Anolis sagrei: one gene and its partners. The protein of the gene in region 2 purifies or fractionates together with the protein of the main gene of each other region. This does not show direct contact. Links are inferred from orthologs where the notes say so. Each region holds a gene or a part of one and is shown on either strand. Other genes may lie near its edges.

What was found.
Region 1: the proteins of RTN4 (region 2) and NADH-cytochrome b5 reductase 3-like purify together in Homo sapiens (affinity purification with mass spectrometry; 3 studies listed by BioGRID and IntAct, counting the BioPlex papers as one, with this or other methods). This does not show direct contact. The link is inferred for Anolis sagrei from reciprocal best matches to the Homo sapiens genes RTN4 and CYB5R3.
Region 3: the proteins of RTN4 (region 2) and ATL3 purify together in Homo sapiens (affinity purification with mass spectrometry; 4 studies listed by BioGRID and IntAct, counting the BioPlex papers as one, with this or other methods). This does not show direct contact. The link is inferred for Anolis sagrei from reciprocal best matches to the Homo sapiens genes RTN4 and ATL3.

What each region holds. Positions count from the first base shown.
Region 1 is NC_090025.1:89,514,152-89,521,175, reverse strand, and holds the start of NADH-cytochrome b5 reductase 3-like, read right to left. Parts: upstream 3,045-7,024; 5' UTR 2,868-3,044; coding exon 2,847-2,867; intron 1-2,846. UniProt on the Homo sapiens protein: Catalyzes the reduction of two molecules of cytochrome b5 using NADH as the electron donor.
Region 2 is NC_090021.1:16,434,363-16,442,268, reverse strand, and holds the start of RTN4 (reticulon-4), read right to left. Parts: upstream 3,100-7,906; 5' UTR 2,693-3,099; coding exon 2,098-2,692; intron 1-2,097. UniProt on the Homo sapiens protein: Required to induce the formation and stabilization of endoplasmic reticulum (ER) tubules. They regulate membrane morphogenesis in the ER by promoting tubular ER production.
Region 3 is NC_090032.1:17,100,193-17,107,432, reverse strand, and holds the start of ATL3 (atlastin-3), read right to left. Parts: upstream 3,012-7,240; 5' UTR 2,912-3,011; intron 1-2,911. UniProt on the Homo sapiens protein: Atlastin-3 (ATL3) is a membrane-anchored GTPase that mediates the GTP-dependent fusion of endoplasmic reticulum (ER) membranes, maintaining the continuous ER network. It facilitates the formation of three-way junctions where ER tubules intersect.

The DNA of each region.
Region 1 (7,024 bases), on a different chromosome or scaffold from region 2:
TATTTTTTAGAGCGGCAAAAGTTGCAGATATGTTATTGAAGTTACAGGCGAAACATGCTAAATCTTTGCAACTTTGCATTTTCTGGCAGAAAGCTTGGATCCTGAGCTTCGTGAGTCATGCAATAAATAGGGTCAGAACATGCATCCCCTCAACTCTTCCTCTTTTGAAAGAAAATGGCATGTACTTATGTTCCACAAGACTGCTTTTTAAAAAGACTGTTGGTGGATGGGCAGAAAGGAACTACGTTCAAAACTGGTGGTAATTGCCAGGAAACTCTGGAATATTTTTCTTGTGAGTTGTCAAAGGGCAATGATGAGTCACAATGGAGGAGCTGAGAGAGGCCTCTGTCTCCCTCATTCTCCTTTGCCCGCAAGCCAGTCCTTCCACTTTAATCCAGGCTTGCAGATACTGTTATTGCCGCCTGCCCTCAAGTCCTGTATGTCAAAACTATCATTTGTTCAGGGGTGTGTGTGTGTTGTCTTTGTCTTCCTTTGGGGCTGAGAGTATGTGAGTTGCTCAGGATCACAACTGGGGTCCCCAAACTAAGGCCTGTGGGCCAGATGCAGCCCTCCAAGGTCACTGACCCTGCCATTGCTTTAAACTTAGGGCTGCCCTCTAAGTCTGAAACGACTTGAAGGCACACAACAACAACAACAATCCTAATAAACTTGACTATGTCATCAGTCAAAAGCAGGCTCACACTTCCCACTGAAATACATTTATGTTGGTTAAAATTATTCTTCATTTCAAACATGGGTTTTTTTGGGCTACAAATAACATATGTGCAGCATGCATAGGAATTCATTTGTGTATTTTTCAAACTACAGTCCAACCCACCAACTTACTGAGGGACTGTGAACCTTCTCCCGGCTTTAAACGTTTGGAGAATTCATGCAGTTTGATACCATTTTAGATGCTGTGGCTTCATGTTATGGATAGAGTTGTATTTTGATGAGGCATCAGCACTCTTTGGCAGAGAAGGCTAAGGACATATTATTAGAACTACTGGGCGAGGCAGTATAACTTCCTTTTTAAAAATGCACGCTATTCAGTCGGTTGAAGACGTAGCGGAGTGCTAGTGGTCTCGTTTGAGAGGCAGGAGTATCAAGTTTTGTCCTGTCACAGTTCAGTCTCCATCATGCGTTGTAACAGTGAGGAGCGTGTTTTTGCCATTGAGGCCTACTTTTCAAGTGGATTTGGAGTGGCCGGCCCGCTCTCCAGATTTGGCCCCTTGTGATTTTTTTCTATGGGGTTTTTGAAATCCCGTGTTTATGTGAACCGTTCAAGGATCCTACAAGATTTGAAGGCCAACATCCAGGAAGAAATTGCCAACCTAACACCTGCTATGCTGGCAAGTCATGACAAATGCCAGAAATCGGTTACTCAATGTATGGAGAATGGAGAATGGGGGATGTCACCTACTTAATTCGATCTTTAAAAGTAAAACAAAACTTTAGGTATGTGCCTACATTATATATTTTTTTCCTGATTCATACAATGGGCTTTATTAAGTTTTGAAAAAAGGAAGTTATGCTGCCTCACCCTGTACAATACCTATGGTTTAATATTATTGAGCCTGAACTGTTCAAGTGGTTTCAAACTGCATTAATTCTGCAGCATAGTTTCGAATCCTGATCTCCAGAGTCTAAAACTAATATCCACACTGCAGAATTACAGTGCTCTGCCACTTTATCTGCTCGACAGATGGGCTCGACAGATGGGCCAAAACTAACAAGAGATGGGCCAAAACTAACAAAATGAAGTTCAACAGTGACAAATGCAAGATACTCCACTTTGGCAGAAAAAATGAAATGCAAAGATACAGAATGGGTGACGCCTGGCTCGAGAGCAGTACGTGTGAAAAAGATCTTGGAGTCCTCGTGGACAACAAGTTAAACATGAGCCAACAATGTGATGTGGCGGCAAAAAAAGCCAATGGGATTTTGGCCTGCATCAATAGGAGCATAGTGTCTAGATCTAGGGAAGTAATGCTACCCCTCTATTCTGCTTTGGTTAGACCACATCTGGAATATTGTGTCCAATTCTTGGCACCACAATTCAAGAGAGATATTGACAAGCTGGAATGTGTCCAGAGGAGGGCGACTAAAATGATCAAGGGTCTGGAGAACAAGCCCTATGAGGAGCGGCTTAAGGAACTGGGCATGTTTAGCCTGAAGAAGAGAAGGCTGAGAGGAGATATGATAGACATGTATAAATATGTGAGAGGAAGCCACAGGGAGGAGGGAGCAAGCTTGTTTTCTGCTTCCTTGGAGACTAGGACGCGGAACAATGGCTTCAAACTACAAGAGAGGAGATTCCATCTGAACATTAGGAAGAACTTTCTGACTGTGAGAGCCGTTCAGCAGTGGAACTCTCTGGAGTGTGGTGGAGGCTCCTTCTTTGGAAGCTTTTAAGCAGAGGCTGGATGGCCATCTGTCAGGGGTGATTTGAATGCGATGTTCCTGCTTCTTGGCAGGGGGTTGGACTGGATGGCCCATGAGGTCTCTTCCAACTCTTTGATTCTATGATTCTATGAGTGCTTGGTGCCACAATAAACTGCACATCCCAGCATTTTACAGCAGTGAGCCCTGGCAGTTAGTGGTGTCAAATGGTAAAACTCTACTCGGTCGTTGATAACGCACGGTAAAAAGAATTGCTTCCCGGCTCCCTTTCTGGCAGGGGCGTGTCTGCCAGGAGGCGCCAGGCAGGAGACAAGGGCTGGGAGGGGCGCATGCGCTCTGCTGCCATCGGCCAGGGACCCCTGCCCGGAAGGGGATCTGCCGCCTCCTGCCCGCCAGGCACATTCCACTGAGGGAGGGGAGCCTCTTCCGGAACCTCTACTCACCGTGCTCAGGAAGGAACCCATGGCGTCTGCTCCTGCTGCTGCTGCTTCCGCTGGCCCGAGAGAATTCCAGCCACAAGCTGAGGAAGACCGTCCGCTGGCCCGCTGCGAAGCAATCGAAGCCTCCTGGCCCCACCCACTCCGTCCCAGCCTCCTTTCTCCCCCGAGTTTGCGCCTCTGTTCGCCTCAGCGAACTGTTCCTCACGATGATTGGCAGGAAAGCGGGCTAGTAGCGTCTCCGCCCTCGCCAGCCAATAGGTACAGGGGGAGGAGGAGCCTTGACGCCGCTTCGGCCTGATTAGCTACCGGATGGGAAGGCGGGTTTGGAATAGAGGGCAAGGAGGGTTTAGGCGGAGGAGGGATTGCTGGGAGCTGTAGGCTGACTGGCTAGTCCCGCCCTAGGTGTGGTTTGGCTGCAATTTAGTGGTCAGGGGGATTTTTGTGTCTTCTTGTGTTTAAATGTGGTTAGGGTCTTCTTGGAGATAGATGCCAGCAGTATATTTATTTCGGCTTTGTTTAGTGCAACAGTCGCCCTTGCGCTGTGCTACTCTGCTGCTGGTTGAGACTATTTATTGAAAACTATAGCAAATGTGCTGCAGGATGTCTCACAAAACCAAAGTTTTTGCAGTTCAATAAACTTTTTCCATGTTTTTTAATGACAGAACCAATTAGGTACAATAAGCATACTGAAAATGTGAGCAGAAAAAAGATTGCATACAAGGAATGGAAAGGAAAGATGAATCACCAAGGAAGAATACAGTTGTGTAGCTCAACCCTGCCGGAATGGTATAAGGAAAGTCTCAGCACAATTTTTTTTTTGAGTTTTTCCAAATGTGCATATTCAAAGCAAGTGACTGAAGGAAATGATGGGAATATTTTACCACAAAAGGCAGAGCTAATTAATAACTATTTTGCTTCAGTTCCTGCCCCCCCCCCCCCCCCCGTCATCACCTATTTAAGCTAAATGTGTTCAGATCTGCAAGGCCAGACAAACTGCATGCCGGAGCATTAAAGGAACTTGCAGACATAGTCATCCACAATGCAATTGTGCAAACATAGCAGTAGCCACAAAAAATCCTCAGACTGGACATGGCCTATTCAGAGAAATACCTAAGAATGACAATGAATGTTAAAAGTGGTACATAGCTACTGTTAACAATACTAATTCCCCTCTTAGCCCGATATCATGTTTAGTGGGTAAATATTACATCATGTTGCTTCAGATTTCCCAGTCCCATTGTATAGGTACTTGTGATTACACAAAAATTGCATGTATGAAACTGTCACATTGCTCTAACTGCCTATTACAGGGAAAACCAACAGATCCCTAATCCATCTAAAACACAGACATGTGCCTTTCACCTTAAGAACAGACAAGCATCCCGAGCTCTGAAGATTACCTGGGAAGGGATCCGACTGGAGCATTGCAGCGTACCCAAATACCTGGGAGTCACTCTGGACCGTTCTCTGACTTACAAAAAGCACTGCCTGAACATCAAACAAAAAGTGGGTGCTAGAAACAATATCATACGAAAGCTGACTGGCACAACCTGGGGATCACAACCAGATACAGTGAAGACATCTGCCCTTGCGCTATGCTACTCTGCTGCTGAGTATGCATGCCCAGTGTGGAACACATCTCACCACACTAAAACAGTGGATGTGACTCTTAATGAGACATGCCGCATTATCACAGGGTGTCTGCACCCTACACCACTGGAGAAATTACACTGCTTAGCCGGTATTGCACCACCTGGCATCCGCCGGGAAGTAGTAGCCAATAGTGAAAGGGCCAAGGCAGAGACATCTCCAGCTCATCCCCTGTTTGGGTATCAGCCAGCACATCAACGACTTAAATCTAGACATAGTTTTCTAAGATCTACAGAGACACTCGCTGGAACACTTCAGCAAGCGAGAGTCCAAAAGTGGCAGGCTCAAACCCAGCACCTCAACCAATGGCTGATACCAAATGAGAGACTCCCTCCTGGGCACACAGAAGACTGGGCGACTTGGAAGGCATTGAACAGACTGCGCTCTGGCACCATGAGATGCAGAGCCAACCTTCAGAAATGGGGCTACAAAGTAGAATCCTCGACATGCGAGTGTGGAGAAGAACAAACCACAGACCACCTGCTGCAATGCAACCTGAGCCCTGCCACATGCACCATGGAGGACCTTCTTGCAGCAACACCAGAAGCACTCCAAGTGGCCAGATACTGGTCAAAAGACATTTAACCAGCTACCAAAATCAGAAGTTGTGTATTTTTCTGTTTGTTTGCTTTGTTCTGTTAGACTGGTTGTTCTGACACGACAAATAAATAAATAGTGCAGCAGTTACAGAGGCAGAAGAAGAAAGATTGGAATGCAAATGTGGGAAACAAAGTACAGTAAAAACAAATAGGAAAAAAATTGGCATAGAATCGTGAAATGAAGCAGGAGTGTGACTGATTGAATTTAGGAAGCAAATAGTTTATTCGTTGCAAACATATTTTTCCAGCAACTCAAGAAGAGACACCCTCAAGTTAGGACTCGGATATATCACATAACTAGAAACAGAATGCGGAGAAGCAGCATTCTCTGGGCAAAAACAAGACCAGGAGTACATTTTGCACAGACCTTGAACTGCTCATATCAAAAAATAGCTAGCTGCAAACTTGATGATCATGCCTTCTAGCCCTTCATCTAAGTCATTAATAAAGATGTTGACCAGGACCAGGCCCAGGACGGAACCCTGCGGCACTCCGCTCGTTACTTCTTTCCAAGATGAAGAGGAAGCATTGGTGAGCACCCCCTGGGTTCGTCCATTTAACCAATTACAGGTCCACCTCACTGTAGTTTTGCCTAGCCCACATTGGACTAGTTTGTTTGCCAGAAGGTCATGGGGGACCTTGTTGAAGGCCTTACGGAAATCCAGGTACGCTACTCTGCCTCCTCTCCCCTTTGTTCAGTTTCTGTGAAAGAGATTATAGCCCTCGATGTCTACATTCCAGCAATAGGAGTCATCCCACCAGGTTTCAGTGATGCCTATGTGTAGAGAAATGTTTATTATAAAGTGTTTATTATACTGTGTTAATATCTGTATTTGTGTTTTACATTTGTTGCCATGGCCTAGCTGTGAGAGATAGGTTGCCATGGAGACAAGGCAGAAGAGGAGGTGGGCGGAGCTTAAAGAGAAAAAGGTTTGAAAGTGACAGTTAATTTTCAGTCAGGAGGAAGAGACCCTGAGAAGAGGAGCAGAGTCAGATAGGACTCTGGGAGAGTAGCAGAGTCATGAAGGGACTCTGAGAAAGTAATTCAGTCAGGAGGAAGAGACCCTGAGAAGAGGAGCAGAGTCAGTTAGGGGCTCTGTGGAGTGAAGCAGTGTAGAGTCAGTTAGTTTTTAGTGTTTGTGAATATTTCTTCAGCAAGGGAGCTGAAGGGAAAACCTCGTTAGATTACTTTGAGGAAAGAGAATCTAACAGAGGGGGTTTTAGGATCGCCAGTAGTGGAAGACTGGAGATCAGTGGTTTGATCCGGTATAGGACAAACAGTGAGAATATTCACAACAGGGAACACTGAAATAATAAAGCGCTTCACTGTAGAAGGAGTTTATAAGATTGTAACATCAAAAGCCTGAATGTATCTCAACCAAGCCATATTGTAACCATCAAGCATATGCCAAGTTCAACATCTTAATATTGCAACAATACGCTTTGTTTAACAATAAACTTGTTCTCTTTGTTATTTTAAACCTGCCTCATCTCTATTGAGTTTACGTTCGGTGCATTCCACTCTACCAAAGTTATCTCACAACGCAAATAGGGATAAACAGAGACTATAATACCAGCGTCTCTATACATTTGGTGGCAGGTTTAATTTAGCAGTCTCGGAACTTCCTTACAGACGCTGGTATTATAGTCTCTGTTTATCCCTATTTGCGTTGTGAGATAACTTTGGTAGAGTGGAATGCACCGAACGTAAACTCAATGGAGATGAGGCAGGTTTAAAATAACAAAGAGAACAAGTTTATTGTTAAACAAAGCGTATTGTTGCAATATTAAGATGTTGAACTTGGCATATGCTTGATGGTTACAATATGGCTTGGTTGAGATACATTCAGGCTTTTGATGTTACAATCTTATAAACTCCTTCTACAGTGAAGCGCTTTATTATTTCAGTGTTCCCTGTTGTGAATATTCTCA
Region 2 (7,906 bases):
ATAGATAGACAGACAGCTAGATATACATAGGTAGGTAGACAGATTGATCAGGAGGACTGCTGGGAGTCGCAGTCCAAGAAGATGTAGAGAAGAAAGGGGGGAAAGAGGAAGGGAAAGAAAAAGGGGGAAAGGAAGGAAAGAGGAAGAGAAGGAAGGAAGGAGAGAAGGAAAGTAAAAAGGGGAAGGAGAGAAAGAGGGAGGGAAGGTTGGCCACAGCAACACGTGGTGGGCACGGCTTGTGTGTGTGTGTACATACACACACATACCACATACTTCCACCTGTTCCTCAGCATGCTTGCACATGCTGCTTACTCAATCTTTGTAGCTACACTTCCCAAAGCCCCCACTCACCCTTTCATGCCATGCTATTCCTCCCTCCATCACCCAACGCCTTCCAGACACACTCCCCTCTTCAACAAAGCACACCCACACCTCCTCCTCACATTCACCCATAGTGAGACCACTCCACCACCACCCCACCACCCAATTCCTCACATGAACAACCTCCTTTCTCGATTTCCTCCCGCAAAAAAAAGCCCTCTCTTCACAGCGTCTGGAAGGCCTACTCCATGAGTCATGGAGAGTTGACATGCCACTGAATCCACCCCCTCCAAAAGTTCTCCCACACAAAAGCAGACCCTCCCCACATTACCCTGTGGTGAGGCCACCCCAGTTCTTCCCATACACGCCCTCAATGTCCATTTTCCCCTTGACCCCTCCCTCCTACTAGGTCTTCTAGGCCTTTCCTATCAGGCCCCTCCATGAGTTATTGGGAACCAGAATCCATTAATTCCAATACGACCACTCCCCTCACTCATTTCTGCCTTCCTTGTCTCACCCTCCCCCCCCCCCAAAAACACACTCCTTACAATGGCTCCCCTTCATCATGCTCTCCTTGTCAAGGCCAAGGTTTCTCTCACCACCACAAATGTATACCCAGAGGTCCACTACCAATGTACCCACCCCCAATAGTCTCCCCACTTTCAAGCCTTGGCCTGACAGGAGTTTGGGGAGGGAAGCCTAGCTTCCCCCCCCCCAAAAAAAAGCACACATGGAGGCACCCCAAGGCCCACCACAAAGGCTACCCACCACGCCCCTCAGGTCAACCCTCCCCCCCCCCAAAAAGGAATATACACAGAGATAGGTAGACTACAAAGGCCTCTTACAGTCTCCCCCAAAAAATATTCACCCCAAACTTCAACTCTCCCCCCCCCAAAAAAACGCAAAGAGAGAGGTTAACTACAAAGGCCTCTTATGGCCTCTCCCCTCAAACATTCACCCCGAACTCTACTACAAAGGAAGCCCACCACGCCCCTCAGGTCAACCCCCCCCCAAAATGCACAGAGAGAGAGGTTCTTTACAAAGGCCTCTTATAGTCTCCCCCCCCCCAAAAAAAAACATTCACCACAAGCTCTACTACACCCTTCAGGTTAACTCCCCCCCCCCCCCCAAATACACACAGAGAGAGGTTCACTACATTGGCTTCTTATGCTCACTCCCCTCATTCACCCCAAGTTCCACTACAAAGGCTGCCCACCCACGCCCCTCAGGTCAACCCCCCCCCCCAAATATACACATAGAGAAGTTGACTACAAAGGCCTCTTATAGCCCCCCCCCCAAAAAAAACACATTCACCCCATGTTCCACTACAGTCCACCACACCCCTCAGGTCAATTCCTCCCCCCAAAAAATACCCATACAGAGAGGTTCACTACAAGGCCCCCGATGTCAACTCCCCCTCCAACAAAAATATACACACAGAAGGTTCACTACAATGTTCTCCACCCAAAAAGCATTCACCCCCATGGCCCACCACACCCCTCTGGTCAACTCCCCCCCCCCAAAAAAAAATACAAGAGAGAGGTTCACTACAAAGGACCCTCATGGTACCCCCCCCCCAAGTTCCACTAAAGGCAGACCACCACACCCCCATGGTCCCCCCCCCCCTTAGGAAGTTTCCCTGAAGCAGTCTTCCCCCTTCAAAAAAACCCCTGGCCCTCGATAGACAGACACCCCACTGCCCCCTCCCCCCAAAAAGCCAAAGCATCTCCCCCCCCAGCTCTGCAGGCGCATGCGCACTCTCCTTCCCCGACTCACCGGGCGAGGCTGAGCCCTTGGGGTCTCCCTTGGCGGCGGCGGGGCTTTGCTCTTCCTTCTTGGGGGGCAGCTGGGGGGCGTTGCGGGGCGGGATGGCGGGGGGCTTGGGCTCCCCTCGGGGCGGCGGGGGTGGCGGGGGCTGCTCCTCCTCCTCGGGGGCAGAAGGAGAAGAAGAGAAGGAGGAAGGAGGGAAAGAGGAGGAGGAGGAGGGGGTGGTGGTGCTGGGGCCCCAAGCCGGCTGCGGAGGGGGCGGCGGGGGCGGGGAGGAGGAGGGGGCCTTGGCGGGCGGGGGCGGCTCCCCGAAGCCCCCCAAGTCCAGCAAGGGCGGAGGGGGCCCGGAAGGAGCCGGAGGGGGGCTGAAAGGGATGGTCGGGGCCGGGGCGGACAGGGGCTTCTTCACCTCCCGCACTTCCAGCCGCTCATCATCCAGATCTTCCTCCTCTTCTTCCTCCTCCTCCTCCTCTTCGTACTCGGGGTCCTTCACGAACTGGTACTGGAAAAGGGGGGGCTGGGGCTGGGAGGCTGTGGAAGGAGGAGGAGGAGGGAGAGAAGAAGACGAAGAGGAGACCAAAGGCGACTGGTCGGGGTCGTCCATCCTGGCTTGCAAAGAGAAGAACTCAAGAGGAGCCGAGCTGGGAGAAAGGGAGGAAGGAAGGAAGGAAGGGAAAACTGCACACTCTCTCACTCTTTCGCCCCAAAAGAAGGAGAAGGAGGAGGAGTAAAAGTAGAAAAGGAGGAGGAGGAGGAATGAACAAGGAGGGCGGCTGCTGCTGCTGCTTCAGGAGAGAGAGAGAGAGAGAGAGAGAAGAGGGGGAGACGCAGCCCGCCAGCCAGCCACCACCTCCACGCCCGGATGAGTCACAGAAGAGGAGGAGGAAGGAGAGGAGGAGGAGGCTGGGCTTGGACGGGGAGGAGGGAGCCTGCAACTAACGAGGAGGACGAGGAGGAGGAGGAAGAGAAGTTGAAGCGAGCGGCTCCTGTCTGTCCTCCTCCTTCTCTTCTTCTTCTCCCACCCAAGAAGATAGACAGGCAACCCAAAGGCCCAATGAGCATCCAGGAGGGGACACAAAGGGGGCGGGGCTAAGAGGGAATTGACCATTCGAGGTGGGGATGGAGAAGAGGATGCAGCCCAGGCATGGGCACACTTGGGCCTTCCAGGTGTTTTGGACTTCAGCTCCCACAATTCCGAACCACCAGTTGGAAGAGATAGACAATAATAATAATATTTATTTATTTTATTACAAACAATCTACAAACAAAACAATCTACATACAAACAATCTACAGACCCACCAAGAAAATCCAACAAATGCTACCTTCAGCAAAGGACAAGAGGGATCCTCTCACTTCTGCAGGAGTCTACTGTATACCATGCAGCTGTGGACAAGTCTACATAGGGACCACCAAACACAGAGTTGCCCAGACACGCATCAAGGAACATGAAAGGCACTGCAAACTACTTCAACCAGAGAAGTCAGCCATAGCAGAGCACCTGATGAACCAGCCTGGACACAGCATATTATTTGAGAACACAGAAATGCTGGACCACACCAACAACCACCATGTCAGGCTACACAGAGAAGCCATTGAAATCCACAAGCATGTGGACAATTTCAACAGAAAGGAGGAGACCATGAAAATGAACAAAATCTGGCTACAAGTATTAAAAAACTCCAAAATTACAAAGCAAAACAGCAGAGAGGAAACAACCAGGCACATCTTAACACCTCTCAACAAAAGGTTTTCCCAGGCTCAGGCAGGCCTTCAAATGCTAATGAAGGTGATCAGCTGAAACATTCACACCTAGCTCTAGCAGGGAAGAGCTCCTTGCCCCACCCCAGCCATTCCACAGATATATAAACCCATTGTCCTATTTCCAACAGACCTGAGGATGCTTGCCATAGATGCAGGCGAAACGTCAGGAGAAATGCCTCTAGAACATGGCCCTATAGCCCGAAAAAACCCACAAGAACCTATTTATTTTATTTATTTCTGTTACTTTTACCCCACCCTTCTCAACCCCCGAGGGGGGACTCAGGGCAGCTTACAAAGAAGGCACCATTTGATGCCGTACAAATTACACATAATATACAAAACCATGGCTAAAACAATTATTGCAGTTAAAAACAATCAAAACAATCAGTACATAACATGTCATATATAAAAACTATAAAAAAAACTATTCTCATGCTCAGCGCTTCGTCTTTCAGAGTTCCATAGTTCTATTCCATTAATCATTTCCTAATCATTGTCAAGTCCTTTTATCTGCCCGATTATCCGAATGCCTGGTCCCAAATCCATGTGTTCAGTTTTTCCTAAAGGAAAGGAGCGATATTGCAGATCTAATTTCCCCGGGGAGTGAATTCCAAAGGTGGGGGGCCACCACCAAGAAGGCCCTGCTCCTCGTCCCCGCCAATCTCACTTGTGATAGAGGCAGGGTCGAGAGCAGGGCCTCCCCAGATGATCTTAGACTCCAGGGTGGGACGTAGAGGGACGTAATACGGCCAGTTGGAAGGGATAGCCAATAATAGTAATAATAATATCTGGGTGTGCAGGTACAACTGCACCAGGAGCTCCAATTTTGTTTGCTTTGCATTTAATGTTTGTTGTAGTCCTAAGTTTCAGGGACTCTGCAGATAGGTGGCTTCTTTTGGCTGCAATCATAGGACAAGCCACCTGTCAATTATAGTTCGGTTCCCTGGTCCTGCCCCCTTTGGGTTTTGGAGGGAATAGGAGCCAGTTTGGGTTCAGTCCACACAGAGAAGCTTTCCATGCAGGACATAATACCAAGAGCTCCTGTAGAAAGCTTTGTCTTCTATGGCTTGGCTGGGGTTATACAGCCCCACAGCTTGGCCAGAAGATATACAGCCTTACAGCTCCTTTGCTGAGGGACTTCAGTCAGCCATCACTGAAACCTGAACTCCTTTTTCCCTGGAAGTCTACAAAGCTCTGCTTGGTAAGGGTCACTCGCGGAAGCCAGATGCAGTTGGTACCGGGTGTAGGGGCTCCACGCCATCAGAGGCAAAGACAGACTGCCCAGATTAGAAGTTAAGAATTTCCCCATTAGTTACAGTTATGAAGATAGTGCCTGTTCCCTGTGGACAAGATTGAGAGAGCCAATAGACTGTTAAGAAAGCTTTAAAGTATTGTTTGTTTTCATCAATAAAGAACACTGTTGAACCTTTAAACAATCTAAAGACTCTGTTTTAAGGAAATCCAAGGGCCTTTAATCTGAGGCAGCCCCGGCGTCCTGTTGGGCACACAGAATATATGTCCTGTCTACAGTCCTATGCACAGGCCCAGCGTGCGACAGCACACTGGGCATACTACAGTTGGACAATATCAGGCATGGGCAAGTGAAAAATGTGGTCAGCAAAGAATATATCCAAAGAGTCAGAAAGGTTTTGAAGAGTAAATTAAATGGCGGAAATACAATCAATTATAATAACTTTATTTTTATACCCCACCAACCATCTCCCCTGGGGAACTCGGGGTGGCTTACAAGGGGCACGCCCAAGATTACAATTAAAAAACACATGTAAAACACTTTCACCAATTAAAACATAAGATAAAACAAATAACAACACAATTGAAAGCAATATAAAACAATATCAAGGCTATCAACACCTGGGCCACCCCCGTCATTACATACACTGGTGGGATTGTGAACTGGACACAAGCAGAGCTGAATGATCTGGATAGAAAAACAATAAAACTGATGACAATTCACTACTCATTACACCCGTGTAGTGATGTCAACAGACTTTACCTGCCCAGAAAATCAGGAGGCAGAGAGAGGGCTTCTGCAAGTGAAGCAAAAATGGTAGAAGAAGAGAAACATGCACTGGCAGATTATGTGAAAGGCAATCAAGAACCAACATTGAGGGAAGTCAATCGTAGTAAACTGCTTCAAGTGCAAAAGACAAAGAGGGAATACCGTAAAAACACAATCCATAGCAGAAGAGAAAACCAGCAAAAGACTGGACAGTTTCTGGCAAAATTTGAGAGCCAAATTGACAAAGAAAAAAACATGGATGTGGCTCACAAATGGGACTTTGAAAAAGGAGACGGAGGGCCTGATTCTGGCAGCCCAAGAACAAGCCATTAGAACCAATGCCATCAAAGCCAGAATTGAAAAGTCACGACAGATCCCAAGTGTAGACCTTGCAAGGAAGCAGATGAAACAATAGATCACATCCACAGCTGCTGCAAGAAGTGGTGCAGTGTATATTACATGTAATATTACTAATACTATTACAGTATATATACTAATGTTGTGCTGTGCATTATAGCAATACTGATCAAAGGAAGATCAAAGTACTCAGCATCAATACAGGCAGGCCTCCACATTCATAGGGTTAGGGCCACAGGACTCCCATGAATGTGAAAAACCTGGAATGAAGAAATCGTTGGGTTGTTTTTTAACCTGAGGGAATGTGTCTAGGCCTTCCAACATGGCTTCATCTATGGTCAACATCTTCTGGAAAATGACCATGAAATCTCAGTGAAGGACCATAGATTCCTAGAAAGAATATTTTTAATCAGATCCTTTATCCCCTGTTTGGGTATCAGCCAGCACGTCAACAACTTAAATCAAGAAATAGTTTTCTAAGCTCTACAGAGACACTCGCTGGAACACCGCAGCAAGCGAGAGTCCAAAAGTGGCAGGCTCAAACCCAGAACCTCAATCAATGACTGATACCAAATGAGAGACTCCCCCCTGGGCACACAGAGGACTGGGCGACTTGGAAGGCGCTGAACAGACTGCGCTCTGGCACCACGAGATGCAGAGCCAACCTCAAGAAATGGGGCTATAAAGTGGAATCCACGACATGCGAGTGTGGAGAAGAGCAAACCACAGACCACCTGCTGCAATGCAACCTGAGCCCTGCTACATGCACAATGGAGGACCTTCTTGAGGCAACACCAGAGGCACTCCAAGTGGCCAGATGGACATTTAATCAACTACCAAGCTTGCAAACTTTGTGTTTTGTTTGTTTGTTTGTTAAAAAATGCAATACAACTGTTTGGTTTGCTCCTGACACGATTTATAATAAATAAATAAATCAGATCCTTGAACAATCAAATCTGTCAAAGCCAAAACTGCAATTGTGGAGGGATGGACGACCGTATTTAAAAATAATTTTAAGAGTGATTTGTTTGTTCCTGGCTTCTTCTGCCTGACCAAAGCCACAAAGAGTCTTGTTGCATTTTAAAGAGTAGCAATCTGCTGCATTTGAAGAGGTGGGCATAAAGCGTGTTAGTCTTTAAGACGTTGCAAGGCTGTTTCGTACTTTTGCGGCAAAACCGACTAACAAGGCTACCAGCACCACCCGCACCGGAAATCTGTCTGGAAAAATTACTTAAATGTGGTCCGCAGAAGTTTCATCGATGCTATATTTGAAAATTTGTTTCTAAGATGCCATAAGGCTTTCTTGCTTTGTTTTTTTTTTCAAATATAGCAAAGAGGCAGAGATGTGAGAGACCTGAGCTAAACCCCGTCATCTGCCATTACGTAAGCTTTCACAAGCCTCCCCCGTATATTCCAACGTTTATCTGTAAAATGGGAGTAACTGTAATGCAGCATTGCAAGACTGTTGCAGTAAAGATAGTTTAGCATATTTATTTAGAAATCAGTCTCTTTGACTTTAAACCAGTCTTGTTCTCTCATTTTGTAGCCTTCCAGCCTGACCTCTAGTATATTTAGTCCCATAAATCCCATGGGTTTCAATGGGATTTATTACCCAGTAAGTGTATCCAGAAATGCAGTCTTAAAAGGATATGTAACTTATAAGTAGGTATCTTAGAGC
Region 3 (7,240 bases), on a different chromosome or scaffold from region 2:
ACAATCAAAAAGCATTCTGAACCTCACCAATGATGGAATTAAACCAAAGGTGACACACAGTTCTTCCATGACCAACAGAAATGACTAGAAGGGTTTGGTGGGCATTGACCTTGAGTTTGGGAGTTGTAGTTCACCTACATCCAGAGACCACTGTGGACTCAAACAATGATGGATCTGGACCAAACTCTACACGGATATTCAATATGCCCAAATGTGAACACTGGTGGAGTTTGGGGAAAATAGAATCTTGACATTTGGGAGTTGTAGTTGCTGGGATTTATAGTTCACCTACAATCAAGGAGCATTCTGAACCCCACCAACGATAGAATTGGGGTAAACCTCCCACACAGAACCTCCATGTAGTAAACCTCTCCCAAAGAATGGCTAGTAAATAATAAATAAATAAATGCTATGGAATCCTTGGAAGAAAAGCTATAGACCTTGTAAAACTACATTGTATTAATGTATTATCGAAGGCTTTCATGGCCGGAATCACTGGGTTGTTGTATTTTTTTCCGGGCTATATGGCCATGTTCTAGAGGCATTCTCTCCTGACGTTTCACCTGCATCTATGGCAAGCATCCTCACTACCTCTGAGGATGCTTGGCATAGATGCAGGCGAAACGTCAGGAGAGAATGCCTCTAGACCATGGCCATATAGCCCGGAAAAACCTTCAACAACCCACTACATTGTATTGAGCCATGGCTGTTAAAGTGCAGTCAAACTGCATTAATTCTGCTCTGTAGATCAGGCATGGGGAAACTTCAGCTGTTAGGAATTGTGGGAGTTGAAGTCCCAAACATCACACAACTTATTTTGGAGCAAGCTTGTTTAGCATCGGCCTCTTAAACTACAGCATTAATAATAATAATAATAATAATAATAATAATAATAATAATAATAATGATTATGATGATGACGACGCAAGGTCTCTAAAAGATATATTATTTTGGTGAGGCACTAGTCTTCTTGGGCAGAGAAGTCTAAATACCTTCAAAAACTACAACTCCCAGGATAATATAGCACCCCAGAAAGTCATGGGAGTTGTCGTTTCCCAAGACTTTTAGCCCTTTCTTCCAAAGTGTTTTGGTGGCCAGAAAGGGGTTAGAGACCTTGGGAAACGACTTCTGAATTTAAATGCTATGGGATCCTGGGAGTTGTAGTTTCCCAAGGCCTTTCACTCTCTCCGACAAAGGGTTTCGATGGCAAGAAAGGGGTTTGAAACCTTGGGAACCGACAACTTTGATGGCTTATAATTTTAAATCCTATGGGACCCTGGGGGTTGTAGTTTCCCAAGGCCTTTAGCCCTTTCTGCCAAAGGGTTTTGGTGGCAAGAAAGGGGTTTGAGACCTTGGGAAACTACAACTTCGATGGCTTATAATTTTATACGCTATGGGACCCTGGGAGTTGTAGTTTCCCAAGGCCTTTCACTCTCTCCGACAAAGGGTTTTGATGGCAAGAAAGGGGTTTGAAACCTTGGGAACCTACAACTTTAATGGTTGATGATGTTGTAGTTTCCCAAGGCCTTTAGCCCTTTCTGCCAAAGGGTTTCGGTGGCAAGAAAGGTGTTTGAGACCTTGGGAAACTACAACTTCGATGGCTTATACTTTTTTACGCAGTGGAATCCTGGGAGTTGTAGTTTCCCAAGGCCTTTCGCCCTTTCTGCAATGGGTTTTGGTGGCAAGAAAGGGGTTTGAGACCTTGGGAAACTACAACTTCAATGGCTTATACTTTTTTACGCAGTGGAATCCTGGGAGTTGTAGTTTCCCAAGGCCTTTACCCCTTTCTGCCAAAGGGTTTTGGTGGCAAGAAGGGGATTAGAGACCTTGGGAACCTACAACTTCAATGGCTGATGATGTTTTCCAAGGCCTTTACCCCTCTCTGCCAATGGGTTTTGGTGGGAAGAATGGGGTAAGAGACCTTGGGAAACTACAATTTTGATGGCTTATAATTTTATGGGATCCTGGGAGTTGTAGTTTCCCAAGGCCTTTAGACCTTTCTGCCAATGGGTTTTGGTGGCAAGAAAGGGGTTTGAGACCTTGGGAAACTACAACTTCGATAGCTTATAACTTTATATGCTATGGGATCCTGGGAGTTGTAGTTTCCCAAGGCCTTTCCCAAGGGTTTTGGTGCTTTGCCAAACTACAGCTCCCAGATTCCCCCTGAAATCATAGAACTCGTGGGAATTGTAGTTTCCCAAGGCTTCCAAAGGGGTTTGGTGCTTTGCCAAACTACAGCTCCCAGATTCCCCCTGAAATCGTTGAACTCGTGGGAATTGTAGTTTCCCAAGGCCTTTCCAAAGGGGTTTGGTGCTTTGCCAAACTACAGCTCCCAGATTCCCCCTGAAATCATAGAACTCGTGGGAATTGTAGTTTCCCAAGGCCTTTCCAAAGGGGTTTGATGCTTTGCCAAACTACAGCTCCCAGATTCCCCCTGAAATCATACAACTCGTGGGAATTGTAGTTTCCCAAGGCCTTTCCAAAGGGGTTTGGTGCCTTTCCAAACTACAGCTCCCAGATTCCCCCTGAAATCATACAACTCGTGGGAATTGTAGTTTCCCAAGGCCTTTCCAAAGGGGTTTGGTGCTTTGCCAAACTACAGCTCCCAGATTCCCCCTGAAATCACAGAACTCGTGGGAATTGTAGTTTCCCAAGGCCTTTCCAAAGGGTTTTGGTGCCTTGCCAAACTACAGCTCCCAGATTCCCCCTGAAATCACAGAACTCGTGGGAATTGTAGTTTCCCAAGGTCCTCAGCCCATTTTGCCAAAGTTTTGCAAGGTTTTAGTGCATACACCCACCCCCCACAGGACCAGGATCCCATAGCATTGAATCCTGGAAGTTAAAGCGGTGTTAAACCGCATCAACTCTACAGTGCAGATGCAATCACGTGGTGGAGACCTCCCAGGCTTACCGGCCGCCTCCAGCTTGAAGTCTTTCTCAGCTGCAGCCGACGGAGAAGTGACCCGCCTGCTTCCCGCCTCGCTCCCATCCCATCAAAGCCGAAGGAGCGAAGGGAGGGCCCTTGGGTGCCAAGGCATGCCGGGAAATGTAGTCCCAGTGGCGCCTCCCCTCGCCCGAGGAGCCTGTTCCCAGCGAGGCCTGCGAACTACGACTCCCGGCAACCTTTGCGGCCACTCAGAACAGGCGGATGGCAAGGAGAGACCGTTGCAACGGCTGCTTGGAGCGAGGCTGGCGAAGGGCATTCTGGGAGATGTAGTCCTCCCTGCTTGTTTACCTTTTCACAACTTATCAGTGCTCCTTTCTCTTCATGATTTAAGTCCTTCTCATCATTCAGGCTTATTATCATTATCATTAATATCACAAAGGACGACCACCTCACCCACCTCATAGGAAACCTGCTACAAAACAGGAGCTTTTTTGTTGAGTTGACAAGCTGGAATGTGTCCAGAGGAGGGCGACTAAGATGATCAAGGGTCTGGAGAACAAGCCCTATGAGGAGCGGCTTAAGGAGCTGGGCATGTTTAGCCTGAAGAAGAGAAGGCTGAGAGGCGATATGATAGCCATGTATAAATATGTGAGAGTTGACAAGCTGGAATGTGTCCAGAGGAGGGTGATTAAAATGATCAAGGGTCTGGAAAACAAGCCCTGTGAGGAGCGGCTTAAGGAACTGGGCATGTTTAGCCTGAAGAAGAGAAGGCTGAGAGGAGATATGATAGCCATGTATAAATATGTGAGAGTTGACAAGCTGGAATGTGTCCAGAGGAGGGTGATTAAAATGATCAAGGGTCTGGAAAACAAGCCCTGTGAGGAGCGGCTTAAGGAACTGGGCATGTTTAGCCTGAAGAAGAGAAGGCTGAGAGGAGATATGATAGCCATGTATAAATATGTGAGAGTTGACAAGCTGGAATGTGTCCAGAGGAGGGTGATTAAAATGATCAAGGGTCTGGAAAACAAGCCCTGTGAGGAGCGGCTTAAGGAGCTGGGCATGTTTAGCCTGAAGAAGAGAAGGCTGAGAGGAGATATGATAGCCATGTATAAATATGTGAGAGTTGACAAGCTGGAATGTGTCCAGAGGAAGGTGATTAAAATGATCAAGGGTCTGGAAAACAGGCCCTGTGAGGAGCGGCTTAAGGAACTGGGCATGTTTAGCCTGAAGAAGAGAAGGCTGAGAGGAGATATGATAGCCCTGTATAAATATGTGAGAGTTGACAAGCTGGAATGTGTCCAGAGGAAGGTGATTAAAATGATCAAGGGTCTGGAAAACAGGCCCTGTGAGGAGCGGCTTAAGGAACTGGGCATGTTTAGCCTGAAGAAGAGAAGGCTGAGAGGAGATATGATAGCCATGTATAAATGTGTGAGAGTTGACAAGCTGGAATGTGTCCAGAGGAGGGTGATTAAAATGATCAAGGGTCTGGAAAACAAGCCCTATGAGGAGCGGCTTAAGGAGCTGGGCATGTTTAGCCTGAAGAAGAGAAGGCTGAGAGGAAGAGAGCCATGTATAAATATATGGGAGTTGACAAGCAGGAATGTGTCCAGAGGAGGGCGACTAAGATGATCAAGGGTCTGGAAAACAAGCCCTATGAGGAGCGGTTTAAGGAGCTGGGCATTTTTAGCCTGAAGAAGAGAAGGCTGAGAGGGGATATGATAGCCATGTATAAATATGTGAGAGGAAGCCACAGGGAGGAGGGAGCAAGCTTGTTTTCTGCTTCCTTGGAGACTAGGACGCAATGGAACAATGGCTTCAAACTACAAGAGAGGAGATTCCATCTGAACATGAGGAAGAACTTCCTGACTGTGAGAGCCGTTCAGCAGTGGAACTCTCTGCCCCGGAGTGTGGTGGAGGCTCCATCTTTGGAAGCTTTTAAGCAGAGGCTGGTTGGCCATCTGTCAAGGGTGATTTGAATGCAATATTCCTGCTTCTTGGCGGGGGTTGGACTGGATGGCCCACGAGGTCTCTTCCAACTCTTTGATTCTATGATTCCAGGGCCAGAGAAGCAGATGGCGGAAACAGAAGAACAGCCTGCCTCAGGGGAGCGTGCTTGCTCCATCCATGTTCAACATCTACACAAATGACCAGCCACTGCCAGAAAGGACAGAGAGCTTCATCTATGCTGATGATCGTGCCATCACCGCTCAAGCAGGGAGCTTTGAGATGGTAGAACAGAAGCTCTCCAAAGCTCTACGTGCTCTTACTGACGTCAAGCATCCCCCCCCCCCCAAAAAAAAAGGGATGGTGACTTATAGTTCTGCAAAGGACAAAGATACCAGACTGCACAATAGGGATTAAGTCTTGGTCAATTTGCCATGGCCTTAACAACAATGAGGACCCCATGAAACTTTGGGAATAGCTAGACCTTGGGGTCTCTGCCTCTCTCGGGAGCTGTAGTTCTCCAAGGACAGGGAGCAAAGCTTGTTTCCAGAGACACCAGGTCCATTTGGGCCACTCAAGAACTCCTGCCAGGACCTTTGTGCAACACCCTTGCGTTTTAGCCATCCCCTATGGACGCTCTTTCCCCCCACATGGACAAACCTTATGAACTCTTGCCTTTTATGAACTTTAGATGTATGAAATGTGTTTTCTGATTTCTTTGTGTGGCAGAAGCCTTTCCCCTTTTCTTCTGACCTTTGTTTCCCCTATATACATGAAGAAACTCCACCAAAGGGACTACAAAGCCCCAAACATTCCAGGAATTTTTTATCCACAACTTCCTTTTGCATGGACAATAGTCTGGGCAGTTGGTGGCCCTCGGAGGAATTGCCCAGCCCTCAGCTTGCCCCTTTGGCAAAAATCTTAATCATATTTCCTCCTGAAGGACAAAAGGTCCTTGAAAAAACCTTTTGCCTTCGCTCTGATTATTCATTCCACTCAAAGCACAATAGATCAGGCTGGCTTGAGATTTCCCCTTTGTCTCGCCGGTCGCATGGCATGGCATTTCCTTTGTTTACTCCTTTCCCAGATTCCTTTGTGCTCCCTCATCCCGCCTCCATTTCTCCTGATTGGCTGTCGCCACCAGGTGGCAGAGATCTCTCCATTGGTTCCTACGGACCACTGGAGCCCATCGCCCCATCATGGCAGGGAACAACAGGGAAGCCGGGGCGGGGAGTTTGAACTCTGCAACTTTGAATTTGCTATAAATATGACCAGTAGCTGGCCACTTGGAGTGCCTCTGGTGTTGCCGCAAGGAGGTCCTCCATTGTGCATGTGGCAGGGCTCAGGGTGCATTGCAGCAGGTGGTCAGTGGTTTGCTCTTCACCCCACTCGCATGTTGTGAATTCCACTTTGTGGCCCCATTTCTTAAGGTTGGCTCTGCATCTCATGGTGCCAGAGTGCAGTCTGTTCAGCGCCTTCCAAGTAGCCCAGTCTTCTCTGTGCCCAGGGGGGAGTCTCTCATTTGGTATCAGCCACTGGTTGAGGATCTGGGTTTGAGCCTGCCACTTTTGGACTCTCGCTTGCTGAGGTGTTCCAGCGAGTGTCTCTGTAGATCTTAGAAAACTATTTATTGATTTAAGTCGTTGGCATGCTGGCTGATACCCAAACAGGGGATGAGCTGGAGATGTCACTGCCTTGGTCCTTTCACTATTGGCTGCTTCTTCCTGGCAGATGTCAGGTGGTGCAATACCGGCTAAGCAGTGTAATTTCTCCATCGGTGTAGGGCGCAGGCACCCCGTGATAATGCGGTATGTCTCATTAAGAGCCACATCCACTGTTTTAGCGTGGTGGGATGTGTTCCACACTGGGCATGCATACTCAGCAGCAGAGTAGCATAGCGCAAGGGCAGATGTCATCAAAGTGGGGTCATCTGTATATCTAAGGTTAATGTTTCTTCCAGCAGTTTTCACCCTAGCCTTGCATTTCTCAAGGCCCACACATCGCATGATGTGTTCTGCATACAAGTTGAATAGGTTGGGGGAGAGGATACAACCCTGTCATACGCCTTGCCCAATTCGGAACCATTCTGTTGTTCAATGGTCAGTTCTTCCTGTTGCTACTTGGAGATAAGGTGATTTGGTATGGCCATACCACCAAGAACTTGCCACAATTTATTATGATCCACACAGTCAAAGGTTTTAGAATCGTCGATAAAACAGATTATTATTATTATTATTATTATTATTATTATTATTATTTTCCACTCCATCTTTTTATTTTTTTGAAAAATTTCTGACATTACAGAACTAAACTGAAATGTATTAATTTCACTCTTACATTTCATGACATAATAATAATAATAATAATTAAGATTATTAAAAAAAAGGTAAAGGTAAAGGTTGTCCCCTG